Saccharomyces cerevisiae S288C: one gene and its partners. The protein of the gene in region 1 interacts with the protein of each later gene in a pairwise test. Each region holds a gene or a part of one and is shown in the gene's direction. Other genes may lie near its edges.

Region 1 (7,720 bases):
TTCCAATCCACAGAAGCACAGAGAGGCTTTGCTGTAGCGCCTAAGCGAATGGTGAACGTCAAAGAAAACGAAGTCTTAAAAGGTTTCAAGACTGTCGTTGATCAGCGTATCGAACCGGTATCTTTCTTTGTTCCAAGGAGATCAGAGGAGTTCCAAGAAGATATCTACCCGGATGCACCTTCCAATAAGCCAGCTTTAACTGCTGAAGAGTGGTTTTCTGGCAAGTCTGTTGAAGGTCCAATTCTCGTTAGTATGAGATCTATCTATGACGGTTCCGCACCAAGCTTTCATGAGGCTAAAAGACCTCAACAGCCAACAACTCAAGAAACAGCTCTTGAAGAGAAAAAGGAGCAGCCTAAAGTGGAGAAGCCAATCAGCGAATCCGAAAAGGAGGTGAAACAAGAAGCTCCAAAATCTCCCTCACCGCTAAAGTCGGCCTCCTCATCTTCTACAATCAACCATGTATTAAAGGAAGATAATTCGATCAACAAGTTGTTGAAGAAATCCTCCGATATTGATCAAGTTAACAACGCCGAAGATCCGTCTAGGGATACCTCCGGATGGGAAGAAGCCGATGATGAGCCAGCTCCTATCAAAATCGAAACCCCAGTCACTCCAACAGAAACTAAAAAGGATCGCACACCTAAGGTCGAACCTTCAAAAGAATTGAAGCCAGAGCCAGTGTCTATCGCAACAGATAGAAAACAGGAGCAAAGCTTACCTCAAGAAGAGAAGTCCTCTGAGAAAACAAAGTCCCCTGAGCAGGAAAAATCCGCAACACCTCCTTCTTCAATTACGGCTGCTAAGACAGCCATTACTGCCAGCAGTAAGGAAGAGCCATCCGCGGCAAGGACATCACCTAAGTCATTGGGTTTAAAAAAGTCTGTCGAAAAACTATCTACATTGGTTCTGCAATTAGAAGATGTAGTTGATAAATTAACGAAAGCAAATCTTGACAAAGATGAGCGCCTGTTAAAGTTGGAACAAAAAATTGGCGAACTGTCAAAATGAAAATTTTTTGTACTTTTAATGATAAAATTAAGTGAGTCCTTTTTATAGGAAAGATGTATTTTGATTATATGTAATGTACATAAGACGGCGGCGATAATAATGCACTTAGAAAGTGAATCATGTTCACCTGTCCACTAACAAAAAAGGAAACAAAATGTTGCTTTCCCACAGGAAAAAGAATGTTTTTGACAAAACACTAAGCGTTATGTGACCAATGTATAATTGTCCTCATCATATAGTTTTATGCAAGCATAAATAAGTCTTTCTTTTAGTTAAAACGCGTTACATAGTAAAGGTAACCCTGAATGAATTTTTATTTATATTTTTCTTCGCATATTTTAGGATCTTGAAAAATTAACCACAAGTTAGAAGTTGATGAGATCAGGAATTCTAACAAAAGGTCATTGGTTAGGTTTATTTTGTAGGTGCACGTTTGCAACTTTATTCCTTTTGTTTCAAAGTTATAGAGCTTTCATTTTCTCATTCTTCTCTAGTGTAGGTCATTTCTCCTGCATATTAACCTACTAGAAAAGTTTACGAAGCTTCATAGGAACGAATAATCGATCACTTTAAAGGCTTCCCGCACTTTAATCTTATCATCTACACCTACAAAAAAGCTCTACTTTGTCATTTATTTTCTACTTCATCTCTGTATGGCATCTATCTCTATATATATAAAAAAGCGCATCTGTTTATTATAAATGAATTCCAACAATCCTGATAATAATAATAGCAACAACATTAATAATAATAATAAGGATAAGGATATTGCCCCCAATAGCGATGTTCAGCTAGCTACCGTCTATACCAAGGCAAAGTCTTACATTCCTCAGATTGAACAAGTTTATCAAGGCACAAATCCAAATATTCAAGAGGCAAAATTATTAGGGGAGTTATTACAAGTTCTAGCAGAAGTTCCCAAGGGTACGCATTTATTTTGCGACCCCATACTTGAACCAATATCAATTTTTTCCCTAACCATTTTCTCATTCAATGAAGAAGCTACGGCCACATGGCTGAAGAATCATTTTAATCCAATTCTCTCTGTTTGTGATAAATGCATTCTAAATTTTGCGAGAGGGAAGTGCAAAATGTTACAACATTTTGCCATTCAAAGACATGTGCCGCATGAACATGTAGCCAAGTTTAATGACATCGTATGCCAATGGAGGGTGGAGGCTGTTTTTCCTATTCTTAGAAATATTTCCGTTAACGATAATACGGGAATTAACATTACAAATGAAATTGAAACTGCAATGTACGAGTGTCTCTGTAATCCGCATATGTTGAGGCTTAACAAGCAACTTAAGGCTACTTTCGAAGCAATCTTCAAATTTTTCTACGACACAAAGCATCGTTTGTTGGACGTTACGAATCCATTAAGCATAAAAACCTTTATATCAGGTGTCATATTTTGCTGGTGTGAAGGTTCAAAAGAGGAAAATGAGTGGTCACGAGCTTTTCTAAAGGATTTATACTCAAGAAATTTCCATATAAATCTTTCTAACCTGACACCGGATATTATTGAGGAAGTTTATATCCATATTTTATTCTTACAGAATCCGGCAAACTGGACAGAGATTGTGGTATCTCAATTCTGGTCGAGATTACTACCGGTTTTCAATTTATTTGATAAAGACGTCTTCATAGAGTACTTTCAGGTCCCAAAAAATGTGGAATCTTTAAAAAAAACATTCAAATTTCCGTTAGAGCCAATTTTTAAAATGTGGTACAATCACTTAAGCAAATCATATCATGATAAGCCACTAGACTTTTTGTTAAGAGGATTAACAATGTTCTTGAATAAATTTGGCTCCGAGTTTTGGTCCAAAATTGAACCCTTCACATTCCATAGCATTTTGGATATAATTTTCAATAGAGATTCATTCCCAATCAAACTAATCAAAATTCAAGACAATCCAATTGTTGAGCATCAAACAGAAGTTTACTTTCAACTTACCGGTTCTGTAACCGATTTACTTTCTTGGACCTTACCATTTTATCATGCACTGTCACCATCCAAAAGAATTCAAATGGTTAGAAAGGTCTCAATGGCGTTCCTGCGTATAATAGCCAATTATCCATCCCTAAAATCCATTCCCAAAGCTTGTTTAATGAATTCAGCAACTGCCTTGTTGAGGGCTGTGTTGACTATTAAGGAAAATGAAAGGGCAATGCTTTATAAGAATGATGAATTTGAAACAGTACTGTTGACTAAAACAGATTCTAGAGCTTTGCTCAACAATCCTTTGATCCAAGACATAATAATTAGATCAGCTTCGAATCCTAACGACTTTTATCCTGGGCTAGGTGCTGCTTCTGCATCGGTGGCCACATCCACGATGATGGTATTGGCAGAATGTATCGATTTTGATATACTGTTATTATGTCATCGAACGTTTAAGCTTTATTCAGGTAAACCAATTAGCGAAATTCCAATTTCAACCAACGTCTTGGAAAATGTTACAAATAAAATTGACCTGAGATCTTTTCATGACGGTCCATTGCTGGCCAAACAGCTGCTAGTATCTTTAAAAAATATTAATGGTCTTTTGATAGTACCGTCAAATACTGCCGTAGCTGAGGCACACAACGCATTGAATCAGAAGTTTTTGCTGCTATCAACGAGATTAATGGAAAAATTTGCGGATATTTTGCCCGGTCAACTGTCTAAAATCCTTGCGGATGAAGATGCATCGCAGGGTTTTTGGTCCTGCATATTCTCCTCTGATAAACACTTGTATCAAGCAGCTACTAATATTTTATACAATACATTTGACGTTGAGGGTAGACTGGAAGGTATCTTAGCGATTCTGAATAGTAATTTGACCGTTAACTTGAAGAATATAAACGTGATGCTACAAAGATTAATCAATTGTGAATTCTATGAGCCTTGCCCCCGTGCTGTTCGTGTTTTGATGGACGTAGTGAGTGCATTTGTAGACCCGATTTCTGGTGTGTTTGCTAATTTCCAAACTTTGAAGAGCCAAAATACCGAAAAGGAATTTTTAAAATTCTGGGAATCATGTTGGTTATTCTTGGATACGATTTATAAGTTTACTTTGAAATGGGCTTCTAAATATGACTATTCTGAACTGGAAAATTTCACCAAAGATACTTTAGATCTAAGTCGCTCTTTGGTGGACTCCTTTAGAGAATTTTCAGATATTCTTCATGACCAAACGAAAAATTTACTTCTCAACGTTTTAGAAACCTTTAAGAATATGTTGTATTGGCTGAGATTGAGCGACGAAGTACTTTTGGAATCTTGTGTTAGATTAATTATAAGCACGTCTGATTTAGCACATGAAAAGCATGTGAAAGTGGATGATTCCTTGGTAGAAATGATGGCCAAGTACGCCTCGAAGGCAAAGAGATTTTCAAATAAGTTGACGGAGCAACAGGCGAGTGAGATTCTACAAAAGGCTAAAATATTCAATAAAGCACTCACGGAAGAGGTCGCTACAGAAGCTGAAAACTACAGAAAAGAAAAGGAATTATCAAGACTTGGGAAGGTGATCGACTTAACGGATTCTGTGCCGGCGTCACCATCCCTCTCGCCCTCTCTGTCTTCAACCATTGCTAGTTCTTCTGCTGAATCCAGGGCAGACTATTTACAAAGAAAAGCTTTATCTTCTTCAATAACTGGGAGACCAAGAGTAGCTCAGCCTAAAATAACATCTTTTGGTACGTTCCAATCATCAGCTAATGCTAAACTGCATCGTACAAAACCTGTTAAGCCTTTATCCAAAATGGAATTAGCTAGGATGCAATTATTAAACAACAGAGTTGTTCATCCACCTAGTGCGCCAGCTTTCCATACAAAGAGTAGGGGTTTGTCTAACAAAAACGACGATAGCAGTAGTGAGGAGAGTGACAACGATATAGAAAGCGCTCGGGAGCTTTTTGCTATTGCTAAGGCAAAAGGCAAAGGAATACAAACTGTCGATATTAATGGTAAGGTTGTCAAGAGACAAACTGCGGCTGAATTGGCTAAACAGGAGTTAGAACATATGAGAAAGAGATTAAATGTTGATATGAACCCTCTATATGAAATCATATTGCAATGGGATTACACCAGAAATAGTGAATATCCTGATGATGAGCCTATTGGTAATTATTCTGACGTAAAGGATTTCTTCAACTCTCCTGCTGACTACCAAAAAGTCATGAAGCCTTTACTACTTCTAGAATCTTGGCAAGGTCTATGTTCTTCACGTGATAGAGAGGACTATAAACCTTTCAGTATTATTGTAGGAAATCGAACTGCTGTGTCAGATTTCTATGATGTGTATGCCTCTGTCGCTAAACAAGTCATACAGGATTGTGGTATTTCTGAATCTGACTTAATTGTAATGGCTTATTTACCCGATTTTCGACCAGACAAAAGGTTGTCCAGTGATGATTTCAAGAAAGCACAACATACATGTTTAGCAAAGGTGAGAACATTGAAAAATACCAAAGGTGGTAATGTTGATGTCACATTACGAATTCATAGAAATCATTCTTTCAGTAAATTTTTGACACTAAGATCAGAGATATATTGTGTGAAGGTTATGCAAATGACGACTATTGAAAGAGAGTATTCAACACTGGAAGGGCTGGAATACTATGACTTAGTTGGCCAAATTCTACAGGCTAAACCATCGCCTCCCGTAAATGTGGATGCGGCAGAAATTGAAACAGTTAAGAAAAGCTATAAGCTCAATACGTCGCAGGCTGAGGCCATCGTTAATTCGGTATCTAAAGAAGGTTTTTCTTTAATTCAGGGTCCACCTGGTACGGGTAAAACAAAGACTATACTGGGTATTATTGGTTACTTTTTGTCTACAAAGAATGCCTCATCTTCAAATGTCATCAAAGTGCCACTAGAAAAGAACTCATCGAATACTGAACAACTGTTAAAAAAGCAAAAAATTCTAATCTGTGCCCCCAGTAATGCCGCTGTGGACGAAATCTGCCTCAGACTGAAGAGTGGAGTGTATGACAAGCAGGGGCATCAATTTAAACCTCAATTGGTCCGTGTAGGTAGGTCAGACGTTGTAAACGTTGCAATTAAGGACCTTACTTTAGAAGAACTTGTGGATAAAAGGATAGGTGAAAGGAATTACGAAATCAGAACAGATCCGGAACTAGAACGTAAATTTAATAATGCTGTGACTAAAAGAAGAGAATTGAGAGGAAAATTAGACTCTGAGAGTGGTAATCCAGAAAGTCCAATGTCAACCGAAGATATCAGTAAATTACAACTTAAGATTAGGGAGCTAAGTAAAATAATCAATGAACTTGGCCGTGATAGGGACGAAATGCGTGAGAAGAATTCCGTAAATTATAGGAATAGGGATTTGGATAGAAGGAATGCACAGGCCCATATCTTGGCGGTTAGTGACATCATATGTTCGACTTTATCTGGTTCAGCCCATGATGTACTCGCAACAATGGGTATTAAATTTGATACGGTCATTATAGATGAAGCATGTCAATGTACCGAACTTTCTTCAATTATTCCTCTCAGGTATGGAGGGAAGCGTTGTATTATGGTTGGTGATCCTAACCAACTACCACCAACTGTTCTTTCAGGTGCAGCAAGCAATTTTAAATACAATCAGTCACTGTTCGTTAGAATGGAGAAAAATAGCTCCCCATACTTGCTGGATGTTCAATACCGTATGCATCCTTCCATCAGTAAATTCCCCTCTTCTGAATTTTATCAGGGACGACTAAAAGACGGCCCTGGTATGGATATCTTGAACAAAAGACCCTGGCACCAGCTTGAGCCATTAGCTCCCTACAAATTTTTTGACATCATTAGTGGTAGGCAAGAACAAAATGCGAAGACTATGTCTTATACAAATATGGAGGAAATACGTGTTGCCATTGAGTTAGTTGACTACCTTTTCAGAAAATTCGATAATAAAATTGATTTCACGGGAAAAATCGGTATAATTTCACCTTATAGAGAGCAAATGCAAAAAATGCGTAAAGAGTTTGCCCGCTATTTTGGAGGCATGATCAACAAATCAATCGATTTCAATACAATCGACGGTTTCCAAGGTCAAGAAAAAGAAATCATCTTGATATCGTGTGTCCGTGCCGATGATACGAAATCTAGTGTCGGTTTTTTAAAGGACTTTCGTCGTATGAATGTGGCTCTGACTAGAGCCAAGACAAGTATTTGGGTTTTGGGACATCAAAGGTCTCTGGCTAAAAGCAAGTTATGGAGAGATTTGATTGAAGATGCAAAAGATAGAAGTTGTCTTGCATATGCTTGCTCGGGTTTCCTGGATCCCAGAAATAATAGAGCTCAAAGTATTTTAAGAAAGTTCAATGTACCCGTACCATCAGAGCAAGAAGATGATTATAAGCTACCCATGGAATATATTACGCAAGGCCCCGATGAGGTAAAATCCAATAAGGACACAAAGAAGAGAAGAGTTGTCGATGAAGGTGAAGAGGCAGATAAAGCTGTAAAGAAAAAGAAGAAAGAGAAGAAGAAGGAAAAGAAAAAGTCCAAGGCAGATGATAAGAAAAAGAATAACAAGAAGGCAGAATCGCCCAGCACCTCATCTGGTACAAAGAAAAAGTCATCCATTTTTGGTGGAATGAGTGTACCGAGTGCCGTAGTTCCTAAAACTTTTCCTGATGTGGACAGCAACAAAAAGGCAGCAGCAGTTGTTGGTAAAAAGAAAAATAACAAACACGTTTGTTT
Region 2 (4,664 bases), on another chromosome or scaffold:
CAGTCCGCTGAATTTATAGTAGTTTGGATTAGACTCGGAGCTCGTAGCCAATGCCGCCTTTATCATGAAAGGAACTACTACGGTGAACGCCAAATAATATAGTCTAAATTCCCATGTATTCCATAGCGGAGGAGATGGGCTATTAGAGCTGAGCACAGGGTTACGGGTAACAGTAACGGCACTAGAAGATGAACCATTCTCTTCTTTAGATGAATTGATAAATATCCTTTGTCGCCTTTTGAATTCAATGTCTGGCTTTATTCGTGAATCAAGTGCCTGCACGGAAAAGAAATGTACGATGCAACTCCAGATTCTTAACATCGACATCTGACTTGTAGCGATGACGTCAATTATTTTTGAGCCCTATAATAAGGTAGTTGAGAAGACAAATTTGAAGCACCCAAAAACCCTCAAAACAGTACCTACCTCAAAGCTAGCTTCTCTTTCTTCTTCTATTTGACTTCATTTTTTCCATATTCACCATTGGTACCTTCCATAAACAACTATAACGCAGTACAAATGAAAAAAGAAGAAAAAAAAAAGAAAAAAAAAGAGACCTAAACGCGCCAAGATTACAGGTAAACGAGTAGAACTTTGATCTATGTGCCTGAAAACCCCTCGGGCACAGGGTTCATAACGAAAAAAAAAAAATCGTAAGTAATGGTAACCATAGTAACCGATGCATGGGTTTTAAAAGTCACGTGCTTAAGTCCATTAAGACCGGAAACCTCTACACCAGTTCTCCTTCTGCAAGGGTTTTCTTTTTTTATTTTTTTTGATGGGATGGCTCTCTTTCCCCGTGTTTGTACTTTTGATATATATAGGATATTCATCAAAACAGCGTTTCGAACTCAGCGCTTGCACGATAACATAAGCACCTCGAGACACATTAGGAAAATTTAACATCCTATTTATTTATTGAATTTACAGGCACGGAAGGCCAATTAGTTTAATTCAGACACATATCATGAGAGCAGTCACTAGAAACAAAATAGTCAATAACCTATACTTTTCTACATTTCTCATTGCATTCGCATCAGTGGCCATCGGTTCTGTGCTGCCATGTCCAGCACATTCAGTGGATTCTGATTCACCAGCTGTACAGCAACACAAGCTTCAGCTTGCTCATGAGCAGGAGTTAAAGAGGAAGGATGCTTTAAGTAAAAAGATTTAAACAGGTACGGGCTATCTGGAACTTTTGATAAGTTGTATTCTATCTCTTTTATTTCCTCTTTTTATTTATTTTCGAGTGCCGTAATCTTCGCTACTTCAAGTTTCATAATCAATCGACTTTCTGTATGGGTAAGCATCTGGTGTGATGCAGTTTCATTATGACACCACAAATACAAAAGAGACTATTTAAATATGTATATAGATCACATTCCAAAAAAGAAAACCATTAATAATATCACTCTTTAATATTCCAAATTGAAACGAAAAAGCGCTATTCTTATTCGCTTCCTAACTACCGCCCTAGTTCGTGCTTGCATTTTTTTGTAGAACGATAAATTATGGTATCCCACGTGATTGAGTGTAACCCTGAATTGTTGAAGAGAAAATGAAGCGGAAGAAGCAAAGGACAAAAAACAATTCATTTGATTTTGCCACTTCTAAATGAAGGTCTAATAAAAGCTATCTTGAGCATCTTTATTAGATTCTGCACAGCAACAAGCGATTTTCTTTGGTCAAAATATAATAATTGACTTACGTTTTTCCCGGACTGTCCTTTCATAATATAATAACCATCTGCAAGCCATGTCAGATGAAAACCATAACAGTGATGTTCAAGATATTCCTTCACCTGAACTATCCGTCGATAGTAACTCTAACGAGAATGAATTGATGAATAACTCAAGCGCAGACGATGGAATCGAATTTGACGCCCCAGAGGAAGAAAGAGAAGCCGAAAGGGAGGAGGAAAATGAAGAACAACACGAACTGGAAGATGTGAACGATGAAGAGGAGGAAGATAAGGAGGAAAAAGGAGAGGAAAACGGGGAAGTAATAAACACAGAAGAAGAAGAAGAAGAAGAACATCAACAAAAAGGCGGAAATGATGATGACGATGATGATAATGAAGAGGAAGAAGAGGAAGAAGAGGATGATGACGATGATGATGATGACGACGATGATGATGAAGAAGAAGAAGAAGAAGAAGAAGAAGAAGGCAACGACAACAGTTCGGTAGGCTCAGATAGTGCCGCTGAAGACGGTGAGGATGAGGAAGACAAAAAGGATAAAACCAAAGATAAAGAGGTCGAACTTCGCCGTGAAACATTGGAAAAAGAACAAAAGGACGTAGATGAAGCTATAAAAAAAATAACTCGTGAAGAAAATGATAATACTCACTTTCCAACTAATATGGAAAATGTTAATTACGATCTTTTACAAAAGCAAGTCAAGTACATTATGGACAGTAACATGCTAAATTTGCCTCAGTTTCAACATTTACCTCAAGAAGAAAAGATGTCTGCGATTTTAGCAATGTTAAATTCAAATTCTGACACAGCTCTTTCCGTACCTCCTCATGATAGTACTATCTCAACAACAGCTAGCGCCTCAGCCACAAGCGGCGCAAGAAGCAATGATCAAAGAAAACCTCCATTGTCAGATGCCCAAAGACGTATGAGATTTCCTAGGGCGGATTTATCTAAGCCGATTACCGAAGAAGAACACGACCGTTATGCAGCCTATTTGCACGGTGAAAATAAAATCACCGAGATGCACAATATTCCTCCGAAGTCAAGATTATTCATTGGTAATTTGCCGCTAAAGAACGTTTCTAAGGAGGATTTATTTAGGATTTTCTCTCCATACGGTCATATCATGCAAATCAATATCAAAAATGCCTTTGGATTCATTCAGTTTGACAACCCTCAAAGCGTTAGAGATGCAATTGAATGCGAGTCTCAAGAAATGAACTTTGGCAAAAAGTTGATCCTGGAAGTTTCTAGCTCGAATGCTCGTCCTCAATTTGATCATGGTGATCACGGTACAAACAGTAGTTCTACTTTTATTTCTTCCGCAAAACGACCATTTCAAACTGAATCTGGTGACATGTACAATGACGACAATGGTGCTGGCTACAAGAAATCCAGAAGACACACCGTTTCTTGCAACATTTTCGTTAAAAGAACCGCAGATCGTACGTATGCCATTGAGGTTTTCAACAGGTTTAGGGACGGGACTGGTTTGGAAACTGATATGATTTTCTTGAAACCAAGAATGGAACTGGGAAAGCTTATCAATGATGCCGCATATAATGGGGTGTGGGGCGTTGTTTTAGTTAATAAAACACACAATGTAGATGTTCAAACTTTCTACAAAGGCTCACAAGGTGAAACGAAATTTGATGAATATATTAGCATATCCGCTGATGACGCAGTTGCCATTTTTAATAACATCAAAAACAACAGAAATAATTCTCGTCCTACTGATTACCGTGCTATGAGCCATCAGCAAAACATATATGGCGCTCCTCCTCTTCCTGTTCCAAACGGCCCAGCTGTCGGACCTCCTCCTCAAACAAACTATTACCAGGGTTACAGTATGCCTCCTCCACAACAACAACAGCAACAGCCATATGGTAATTATGGGATGCCACCACCATCCCATGACCAAGGATATGGTTCTCAACCTCCAATTCCAATGAATCAGAGCTACGGTCGCTACCAGACTTCTATTCCACCACCACCTCCACAACAACAAATTCCTCAAGGGTATGGTCGTTATCAGGCTGGTCCGCCTCCTCAACCACCTTCTCAAACTCCAATGGACCAGCAACAACTATTATCTGCCATTCAAAACCTTCCACCTAACGTTGTATCGAATTTGCTTTCAATGGCCCAACAACAGCAACAACAACCTCATGCTCAGCAGCAATTGGTTGGTTTAATACAATCAATGCAAGGCCAGGCTCCTCAACAACAGCAACAACAGTTGGGTGGATATTCCTCTATGAACTCATCCTCTCCCCCTCCTATGAGTACCAATTACAATGGTCAAAATATATCTGCAAAACCCTCTGCCCCACCAATGTCACACCAACCTCCGCCACCTCAACAACAACAACAACAACAACAACAGCAACAGCAACAGCAACAGCAACCTGCTGGCAATAATGTTCAAAGTCTATTAGATAGTTTAGCAAAACTACAAAAATAGACTCCCTTTTTTCAATCTTTTCCATTTCTTGTACATTATACTTGAATTCTTTTAATTGGACGAAAAATTTTTAAGGAAAGTAGATTGATATGGTTTGCATAAATTCGACATAGCGGTTTATGCTTTAATCGTTTTCCCTTCCCAAATTGGACTAGGACTTAATTCTTACTATTGCTGCATCTCTTTCAGAACGAAAAACTCTTTACCCTGTTATAAATTTCTTTTATTTCTTCCTTATCAAATGCTATTTGGTCTATTTATTTCACTTACACGCACCTCTTCATTTGTTTCCTCTGCCAAGAGAATGGCTTTTCATTTCTTTTTCTTCTCTTTAGTTAAATGTTCTTATATCAAAACTTTGTAAAATTGCTTTGTAAACAGATTATTAAGTACCGCTCTATTTACCCCATAACGAAAAGAAGTTCCGCGCTTAGGACACCTTTCCCTAGAGGTTCTTGTTTGATTTGTTTTAGTCATCTGCCTGTCGTTTATTTTAGTTT
Region 3 (5,536 bases), on another chromosome or scaffold:
CGTGGTAGTAGCCATAATTTCCCGTTCGGTGGCAAGTTCCGACTTCTTGTCATGGCTGCGATTATGCAAGCTAGCGTCATGGCCTTCATCTTCCTGGAACGTGACTTCCGTAGGCTTTTCTTCTGATCCATCATTGGTGGGTGATATGAAAAGCACATCATCCACCAAATGCTTAGGTGACTCCATTGTAAATTTGTTGCTCATCTAGAGGTAATGACAATAGTTCAATGCTCGAAAGTGAAGAAATATTTCTTTTTTTTTTTATATAAGCCTTCTGCGCAGTCGTTTTTTTTTCAGTCGCTGTCTCACGGGGGAAAATAGTTTGAAAAAGGCGAAGAGGGGGAAAACTGTGATGTGAATACGACTTCTAAGACAGTAAATATGGACGTATGCTTATAGCTTGGAGAGTTAGTTAATATAGAGAAATATAAATAGTAGATAAGAAGTACATATGAAACAAAAAAAAAATGGCAATAAAATAACAAAAGGATCTCGAGTAGGAACATACTTCAAAGAAAGGAAAACTCATGGTTTATATATTATCCAGAATTTTTAACGTAATCGGAGATGCGACAGATATTTCAGGGTGTATGGATGAGGTCAAAACAATACTAATCACACACGCCGCGAAGCCTTCGACGGTTCGTAACCTGTCCTCATGTGTGACGCATAGGATTCTACGGTAGATCCCGAGTATGCCCGGCTGTGATTGGTAACTATGATTGCGAGTAATAAGCGATCCGGCGTCCGGTGGTATTTTCTATTTTGTTGGTGCGACCGCTTCTTCGCAGAGAATGGGTGACTTGTAAAAGGAGAGAGACACTGGAAAAACCAACAGAATACGAGCAGGAAACTAGAAAATAAAAAACTAAAAAAAAAAAAAAACAAAAAGGAAAGGAAAAATTAGTAGAAGCCGGCGACGATTGCAGAATCCAGAGGGATACCGCTGTAACAGAGAATACGGGCACCCAGACAAGTGACTGGCGCCAGACTTTGTTATTTCACCTGGACCCGAATAATAATATTAAATAGTGATAATAATAATAACATATAGCATAAATAATAATGTACAAAATAATAATAATAAATAAATAAATGGTTCACCATGGACTGTACAGGCGTTCCGGAACGCACATAGTGACAGTACAAGACCTGGTTGTGTGCCATAATGGCCGGCATGTGAAATCGCGGCTTCTGTATATGTACATATCTGTTCTTTTACCATGTCGTCCATTTTCCGTTCACTTTAGCCAACACGGCGACGTTGTGCGGAATTGATTTGAAGTCGATTTTTTCTATGGAGTATTCCCAAACTGCCCCCAAATTTTGCAAATTAGTGCGCGGGGTGAATGGGTGCGTCAGAGCATTTACTGACACCTGGCGGCATAAGCAGCGACGTATCGTGTCCAAGGCAGGCCATAGCAAGAGCGTTTGTGATTGATTTTCAAGGCGCAGATACCATTGGAACACAGTAGCGCAGAAGGTACTCCTCAAAAGAGACAGAGAGAGAAATCAGAGTCAGGGAGCTTAGTAGCTGCTGTTACCAATATTATACAATAAGTAAGGTTTGCATATGCGGAAACTTCGCACTTGAATTTTTTTTTTTTTCTTTTTTGGTAGCTTTTTGATGTTTCCAGAGGATGTGAGTCAATGAGTGGTGTGACCCCAATACCACATTTTGTTGCTGTTTTTTTTTTTTCATTGTTAATTATCACTATTTTTTTTTCTTTCTAGTATAACCCATTCGAACCTCCGTGGAGGCATTAAAAGGGAGAGTGAAAAAAAAAAAAAGAAAAGAAAAAGAAAAGATGCCGCCACATATAGAGACCTTAAAGGGATTGAAAAACTGTACGTAAATCATTGAAGGTTCTACACGTCATCCATGAAGAAAAGCATTTTCGGGAGAACGCCAAACTTCAGACATGGGTGTGCATTCATTTTGGGATATTGCAGGTCCTACGGCAAGACCGGTCAGGCTGGAATCCTTGGAAGATAAGAGAATGGCAGTAGATGCCTCCATTTGGATATATCAGTTTTTGAAAGCTGTCCGTGATCAGGAGGGGAATGCAGTGAAGAATTCTCATATTACTGGGTTCTTTAGAAGAATTTGTAAGCTATTATACTTTGGCATTAGGCCGGTATTCGTCTTTGATGGTGGTGTGCCCGTATTGAAAAGGGAAACAATACGGCAGAGGAAAGAAAGAAGACAGGGAAAACGAGAGAGTGCGAAATCCACCGCTAGGAAGCTGCTGGCTTTACAATTGCAAAACGGCTCAAACGATAACGTAAAAAACTCTACACCGAGTAGTGGCAGTAGTGTGCAGATCTTCAAACCTCAGGACGAGTGGGACTTGCCCGATATACCGGGATTCAAATACGATAAGGAAGATGCAAGAGTTAACTCTAATAAAACTTTTGAAAAACTGATGAATTCGATAAACGGTGATGGACTGGAAGACATTGATTTAGACACTATAAATCCAGCATCGGCCGAATTTGAAGAGCTGCCAAAGGCCACACAGTATTTGATATTATCGTCGTTGAGGTTGAAATCAAGACTGAGGATGGGATACTCGAAAGAACAATTGGAGACCATCTTCCCAAATAGTATGGATTTCTCAAGATTTCAAATAGACATGGTGAAAAGGAGGAATTTTTTTACTCAAAAGTTAATCAACACTACTGGGTTTCAGGATGGTGGAGCGTCTAAGCTGAACGAGGAGGTGATCAATAGGATATCCGGCCAAAAGAGTAAAGAGTACAAGTTGACTAAGACTAATAACGGGTGGATTCTTGGACTAGGGGCAAACGATGGCTCTGATGCGCAAAAAGCAATCGTAATAGACGATAAAGATGCAGGCGCTTTGGTAAAGCAGTTAGATAGTAATGCTGAGGACGGGGACGTGCTCCGATGGGATGATTTGGAAGATAATTCCTTAAAAATAGTGCGACATGAGTCTTCTAACGCGACGACAGCTCCACAGAAAAGGAGTAACCGGTCAGAAGATGAGGGATGTGACTCTGATGAATGTGAGTGGGAAGAAGTTGAACTCAAGCCCAAGAACGTCAAGTTTGTGGAAGATTTTTCTTTGAAAGCTGCAAGGTTGCCTTACATGGGCCAATCCCTAAACAACGCTGGCAGTAAATCGTTTTTGGACAAAAGACATGATCAGGCATCGCCCTCCAAGACTACTCCAACAATGAGAATTAGCAGAATCAGCGTGGAAGACGACGATGAGGATTACCTGAAACAAATTGAGGAAATTGAAATGATGGAGGCAGTGCAACTTTCTAAGATGGAAAAGAAACCTGAAGCGGACGACAAATCAAAAATCGCTAAGCCGGTAACGTCAAAAGGTACAGAGGCTCGTCCACCAATAGTACAGTATGGATTACTTGGCGCACAACCGGATAGTAAGCAACCGTATCATGTCACAAATTTGAATAGCAAATCAGAGTCGGTCATCAAAAGGACCAGCAAGACAGTTCTTTCTGAGTTTAGGCCACCGTCTCAGCAGGAGGATAAAGGGGCTATTTTAACAGAGGGGGAGCAAAACCTGAATTTTATTTCTCACAAGATACCACAGTTTGATTTTAACAATGAAAATTCCCTGCTTTTTCAAAAGAATACCGAGAGTAATGTGTCCCAAGAAGCCACGAAGGAAAAGTCTCCAATTCCTGAAATGCCGAGCTGGTTTTCTTCAACTGCTTCCCAGCAGTTGTATAATCCCTATAACACAACAAATTTCGTGGAAGATAAAAACGTAAGAAATGAACAAGAAAGTGGAGCAGAAACTACCAATAAAGGGAGTAGCTATGAACTCTTGACAGGCTTAAATGCTACGGAAATATTAGAAAGAGAAAGCGAGAAAGAGAGCTCCAATGATGAAAACAAGGACGATGACTTAGAAGTTTTATCAGAAGAACTATTTGAGGACGTTCCCACTAAATCTCAGATTTCAAAAGAAGCAGAGGATAACGATAGTAGAAAAGTCGAATCTATAAATAAGGAGCATAGAAAGCCTCTTATATTCGACTATGACTTCTCCGAAGATGAAGAAGATAACATAGTAGAAAATATGATAAAGGAACAAGAAGAGTTTGATACATTTAAAAACACGACTTTGTCCACTTCTGCTGAAAGAAACGTTGCCGAGAACGCTTTTGTGGAGGATGAATTATTCGAACAACAGATGAAGGATAAAAGAGATTCGGATGAGGTAACTATGGATATGATCAAAGAAGTGCAAGAATTACTATCGAGGTTTGGAATCCCCTATATCACTGCGCCTATGGAAGCTGAAGCACAGTGTGCGGAATTGTTACAACTAAACCTTGTCGATGGTATAATTACCGATGACAGTGATGTTTTCCTATTTGGAGGTACAAAGATCTACAAAAATATGTTCCACGAAAAGAACTATGTTGAATTTTATGATGCGGAATCTATTTTAAAATTATTGGGCTTGGATAGAAAGAATATGATTGAGTTGGCACAGCTTTTAGGGAGCGATTACACGAATGGATTGAAGGGTATGGGTCCCGTTTCAAGCATTGAAGTGATTGCAGAATTTGGAAACCTAAAAAATTTTAAAGACTGGTATAATAATGGGCAGTTTGATAAACGTAAGCAAGAAACGGAAAATAAATTTGAAAAAGACCTGAGAAAAAAACTGGTAAATAACGAAATTATCTTAGATGATGATTTTCCTAGCGTCATGGTTTATGATGCGTATATGAGACCAGAAGTCGATCACGATACCACGCCGTTTGTTTGGGGGGTACCAGATCTCGATATGCTTCGTTCATTCATGAAGACTCAACTAGGTTGGCCACACGAAAAGTCTGATGAAATTCTCATTCCCTTAATTAGAGATGTTAATAAACGCAAAAAGAAGGGGAAGCAAAAAAGGATTAATGAATTTTTTCCAAGGGAGTACATATCTGGTGATAAGAAGCTCAATACAAGTAAGAGAATTTCAACCGCAACAGGTAAACTAAAGAAAAGAAAGATGTAATAACATATACTTATGTATGATTTACTATTTATAAACATTACCTTTGTTTCTGCATGTTAACAAAGTCAACCGATCCAGGAATAGTAGATATATACGGTCCTTTTGGTATCTTTGCGTCGGTGAGGTATGACACTTTTGGCACCCACCCAAACACGCGCAACGTTATTTTTCGCCATCTTGAAGATCTCAGAATAGCAATTAGAGAATAAGACACATTCTGTCATTTTTGCATATTTCCGGGAAGATCACTCCTCTGGAATTGGGGCACACTACCCTCATATTTGTGCCAGTTCACTTCACAGGAATCGTATGAGCCAAAGCCATAAAGTATCGTAGGAAAGGAAACGAGGTGTTGATAATACGATATGAGTGATCGCAATACAAGTAACAGCCTGACCTTAAAAGAACGAATGTTAAGTGCCGGTGCTGGATCAGTACTCACTTCTTTGATTTTGACACCGATGGATGTAGTGAGAATACGGCTGCAACAGCAGCAGATGATTCCTGACTGTTCATGT
Region 4 (3,858 bases), on another chromosome or scaffold:
ATTTAGCCAATCATCTTTTTTTTTTGCGTGATCTTTATCAATCGTGATTCTCTGCCTTCTGAGTGAAAAAAGTCATGATCTTCGCGTTATTGCAGCGGAATTTGCCGACAGGACCTAGGTCTTGAGAAAGAAAAGTGATAGGGTAAGTAATGGAAGAAGAGGGCACAGGTCCAATCACGCAGCTTCATTACAGGGCTATAATTGCAAGAATAATAACTTTCAACCATATAGAAATCCAATACAGTATATTGGTATTGTTTAGAAAGGTATTAAGAAGGCAGTAGCATACAGAGTATATATCTATAGGCAGAGCATCAGATCATAAAGATAGTGGTGAAATGGCTAGAACCAAAAGTAGGAAGCGTTCCGGAAATAACCAAAATAAGAATGCGTCTGTGGTAAATAATAAGGCTGAGATCGCCGCCATGATTGATGCAAGAAGGCTTGAGCAAAAGAAAAAGGGTGGGGTGACTAACAGCAAAGGAAAGACGAATAAGGTAGTGGATGCGAAGTTAGAAAAAGAGTTCAAAGACGTTTTACAACGATTTCAAGTGCAAGAGAATGATACGCCGAAGGAAATCACGAAAGATGAAAAGAACAATCATGTCGTTATTGTTGAGAAAAACCCAGTTATGAACAGAAAGCATACAGCAGAAGATGAATTGGAGGATACACCCTCGGATGGTATTGAGGAGCATCTATCGGCAAGAAAACGTAGGAAGACTGAAAAACCTTCACTTTCGCAGTTAAAAAGCCAGGTACCGTATCCTCAAATTATAGAATGGTACGATTGTGACGCAAGATATCCAGGCTTACTAGCGTCAATTAAGTGCACCAAAAATGTCATTCCTGTTCCAAGCCACTGGCAGTCCAAGAAGGAATATCTATCTGGCCGTTCTCTGTTAGGTAAAAGACCTTTTGAACTTCCTGACATTATCAAGAAGACAAATATAGAACAAATGAGATCGACGCTTCCGCAAAGCGGACTGGATGGTCAAGATGAAAAGTCACTAAAGGAGGCCTCAAGAGCAAGAGTGCAGCCGAAAATGGGCGCCTTGGATTTGGATTACAAGAAGTTACACGATGTGTTTTTCAAGATAGGAGCCAACTGGAAACCTGACCATTTGTTATGCTTCGGTGACGTCTATTATGAAAATAGGAATCTTTTCGAGGAAACGAACTGGAAAAGAATGGTTGATCATAAGAGACCGGGGAGAATTAGCCAAGAGCTTCGTGCCATAATGAATTTACCCGAAGGTCAACTACCACCATGGTGTATGAAGATGAAAGACATTGGATTACCTACGGGATATCCTGATCTGAAAATTGCCGGCTTGAATTGGGATATAACGAATTTAAAAGGCGACGTTTACGGAAAAATAATCCCTAATCACCATTCAAGGTCCAAGAAACAGGGTAGAAACTATTTTGGCGCATTGATCTCATTTGAAACCCCTGAATTTGAAAATTCAAAAGAGGATACACAGGCGAATGCGGAAAATGGGCGCCAAGATGACAAAATCGATGATGAAGTAGAGCATAAGTTAGATCACTTCCAGGAAGACATATCCGAAGTGACAAGCGCAGAAGAAAAACTTGAGAGAAACGAAGAGGAATCGGAGAAGCAACTATATACTGTATTGAAATAACTACTAAATATCGCATAGGTACTTCAGTTTTACAAAATTTTACATGTGGTACTATTTCTCACGTACGAGTTTTTTTCTTTTTTAAATGCGGCCCTAAACCATGCTGAAATTTTTCATGAGCTCATCGCAAAATTTATCTCATTATCAGGTCATATAGTCACTCTCAGGAGAATCCTGCTCGATCAAAGTGAGGCAAGTAAATGCGCATATAGAAGAGAGCAAAACTGTCCTATTTACAAGCTTTTCAAAACAATGGGCTCAAAAGTAGCAGGTAAAAAGAAAACCCAGAATGATAATAAACTAGATAACGAAAATGGTTCACAGCAGCGCGAAAATATCAATACCAAGACGCTTTTGAAAGGCAACCTTAAGATATCAAATTACAAATATCTTGAGGTGATTCAACTAGAACATGCTGTGACAAAATTGGTGGAGTCTTACAATAAAATAATTGAACTTTCACCAAATTTGGTAGCTTACAATGAAGCCGTTAACAATCAAGATAGAGTGCCTGTTCAGATACTTCCTTCTCTATCACGTTATCAATTAAAACTGGCAGCTGAATTAAAAACCTTACATGATCTTAAAAAAGACGCAATTTTGACAGAAATTACTGATTATGAAAATGAATTTGATACTGAACAAAAGCAACCTATATTGCAAGAAATCAGTAAAGCTGATATGGAAAAGTTAGAGAAGCTAGAACAAGTTAAAAGGGAAAAGCGAGAGAAAATAGATGTAAATGTGTACGAAAATTTAAATGAAAAGGAAGATGAAGAAGAAGACGAAGGAGAAGATAGCTATGACCCAACAAAGGCTGGTGATATCGTCAAGGCAACAAAATGGCCTCCAAAATTACCAGAGATTCAAGATTTAGCGATTAGGGCCAGGGTATTTATTCACAAATCCACAATAAAGGATAAAGTTTACTTGTCTGGATCAGAAATGATCAACGCACATAATGAAAGACTAGAATTCCTAGGCGATTCGATCTTAAATTCTGTTATGACATTAATTATTTATAACAAGTTTCCCGATTACAGCGAGGGTCAGTTATCAACATTAAGGATGAATTTGGTAAGCAACGAACAGATCAAACAATGGTCAATAATGTACAATTTCCATGAGAAACTTAAGACAAATTTTGACTTGAAGGATGAAAATTCCAATTTTCAAAACGGCAAACTAAAACTGTATGCAGATGTGTTCGAAGCTTACATTGGCGGCTTGATGGAAGATGATCCAAGGAATAATTTGCCCAAAATAAGAAAATGGTTAAGAAAGCTTGCCAAACCTGTCATTGAGGAGGCTACCCGTAATCAAGTTGCCTTGGAGAAGACGGATAAACTTGATATGAATGCTAAAAGGCAGCTTTACTCTTTGATTGGCTATGCTTCATTACGTCTACATTATGTTACCGTAAAAAAACCCACTGCAGTTGATCCTAATTCCATAGTTGAGTGCAGAGTAGGTGATGGAACAGTTTTAGGGACCGGTGTGGGCAGAAATATCAAAATTGCGGGTATTAGGGCTGCAGAAAATGCTCTTCGTGACAAAAAAATGTTAGATTTTTACGCCAAACAAAGAGCTGCCATTCCTAGGAGTGAATCTGTGTTAAAAGATCCCTCACAAAAGAATAAGAAAAGAAAATTCTCAGATACAAGCTGAAACGTTCCTTTTACACAACCATGATGGAACTTGCATTGATTTTCTTTAGCCATATAATTATCGCATATATGTCATTCATAAAACGTTTATAAAACATTAGAATATTTGATATATTTGAATATTTGATAAAAAATTTGATAATTTTTGGGATTCCATTGTTGGTCAAAGCTATAAAATTATGTATGTACTAGAAGTTCTCCTCGAGGGTATAGAAATCCTTAAAATGGAATCGGTATCTTACCATAAATGTTCCACTAGAATGTCATCAGATGAAAAAGACGAAAGAAACATATGACTAGCTCGCGTGGCGTAATGGCAACGCGTCTGACTTCTAATCAGAAGATTATGGGTTCGACCCCCATCGTGAGTGTTTTTTAGTATTTTTTTTAAAAACAATTGTTCCTCTCTAAATTTTAATCAGTTTTTGATCATGAAGGGTTTTGTATGTAGCACATAAACATTTTTACTGAAAGAAAAGGATAGCCTAAATATTAGAATACAATAAAATTTTTTTGAGCCTAGTTTGACACATTTAAAACAG

The links.
Region 2: the proteins of SEN1 (region 1) and NAB3 interact in binary tests that used the Saccharomyces cerevisiae proteins (3 or more experiments, as listed by UniProt).
Region 3: the proteins of SEN1 (region 1) and RAD2 interact in binary tests that used the Saccharomyces cerevisiae proteins (3 or more experiments, as listed by UniProt).
Region 4: the proteins of SEN1 (region 1) and RNT1 interact in a two-hybrid assay, tested with the Saccharomyces cerevisiae proteins (3 studies listed by BioGRID).

Annotation. Positions count from the first base shown.
Region 1 is NC_001144.5:991,722-999,441, forward strand, and holds the start of SEN1 (DNA/RNA helicase SEN1), read left to right. Parts: upstream 1-1,712; coding exon 1,713-7,720. Other genes in the region: CRN1 (coronin), read left to right, coding at 1-1,011. UniProt on the Saccharomyces cerevisiae protein: ATP-dependent 5'->3' DNA/RNA helicase required for the expression and maturation of diverse classes of non-protein-coding RNAs like precursor tRNAs, rRNAs and small nuclear (snRNA) and nucleolar (snoRNA) RNAs.
Region 2 is NC_001148.4:184,817-189,480, reverse strand, and holds NAB3 (Nab3p), read left to right. Parts: upstream 1-1,755; coding exon 1,756-4,164; downstream 4,165-4,664. Other genes in the region: GUP2 (putative O-acyltransferase), read right to left, coding at 1-327; COA2 (Coa2p), read left to right, coding at 968-1,174. UniProt on the Saccharomyces cerevisiae protein: May be required for packaging pre-mRNAs into ribonucleoprotein structures amenable to efficient nuclear RNA processing. Binds to poly(A)+ RNA. Appears to act in the maintenance of CLN3 mRNA levels.
Region 3 is NC_001139.9:1,007,153-1,012,688, reverse strand, and holds RAD2 (ssDNA endodeoxyribonuclease RAD2), read left to right. Parts: upstream 1-1,922; coding exon 1,923-5,018; downstream 5,019-5,536. Other genes in the region: TNA1 (Tna1p), read right to left, coding at 1-204; MTM1 (Mtm1p), read left to right, coding at 5,384-5,536. UniProt on the Saccharomyces cerevisiae protein: Single-stranded DNA endonuclease involved in excision repair of DNA damaged with UV light, bulky adducts, or cross-linking agents. Essential for the incision step of excision-repair.
Region 4 is NC_001145.3:747,721-751,578, reverse strand, and holds RNT1 (ribonuclease III), read left to right. Parts: upstream 1-1,901; coding exon 1,902-3,317; downstream 3,318-3,858. Other genes in the region: U2 snRNP complex subunit CUS1, read left to right, coding at 339-1,649; DFG5 (putative mannan endo-1,6-alpha-mannosidase), read right to left, coding at 3,850-3,858. UniProt on the Saccharomyces cerevisiae protein: DsRNA-specific nuclease that cleaves eukaryotic pre-ribosomal RNA at the U3 snoRNP-dependent A0 site in the 5'-external transcribed spacer (ETS) and in the 3'-ETS. In vitro, cleaves synthetic 5'-ETS RNA A0 site in the absence of snoRNA or other factors.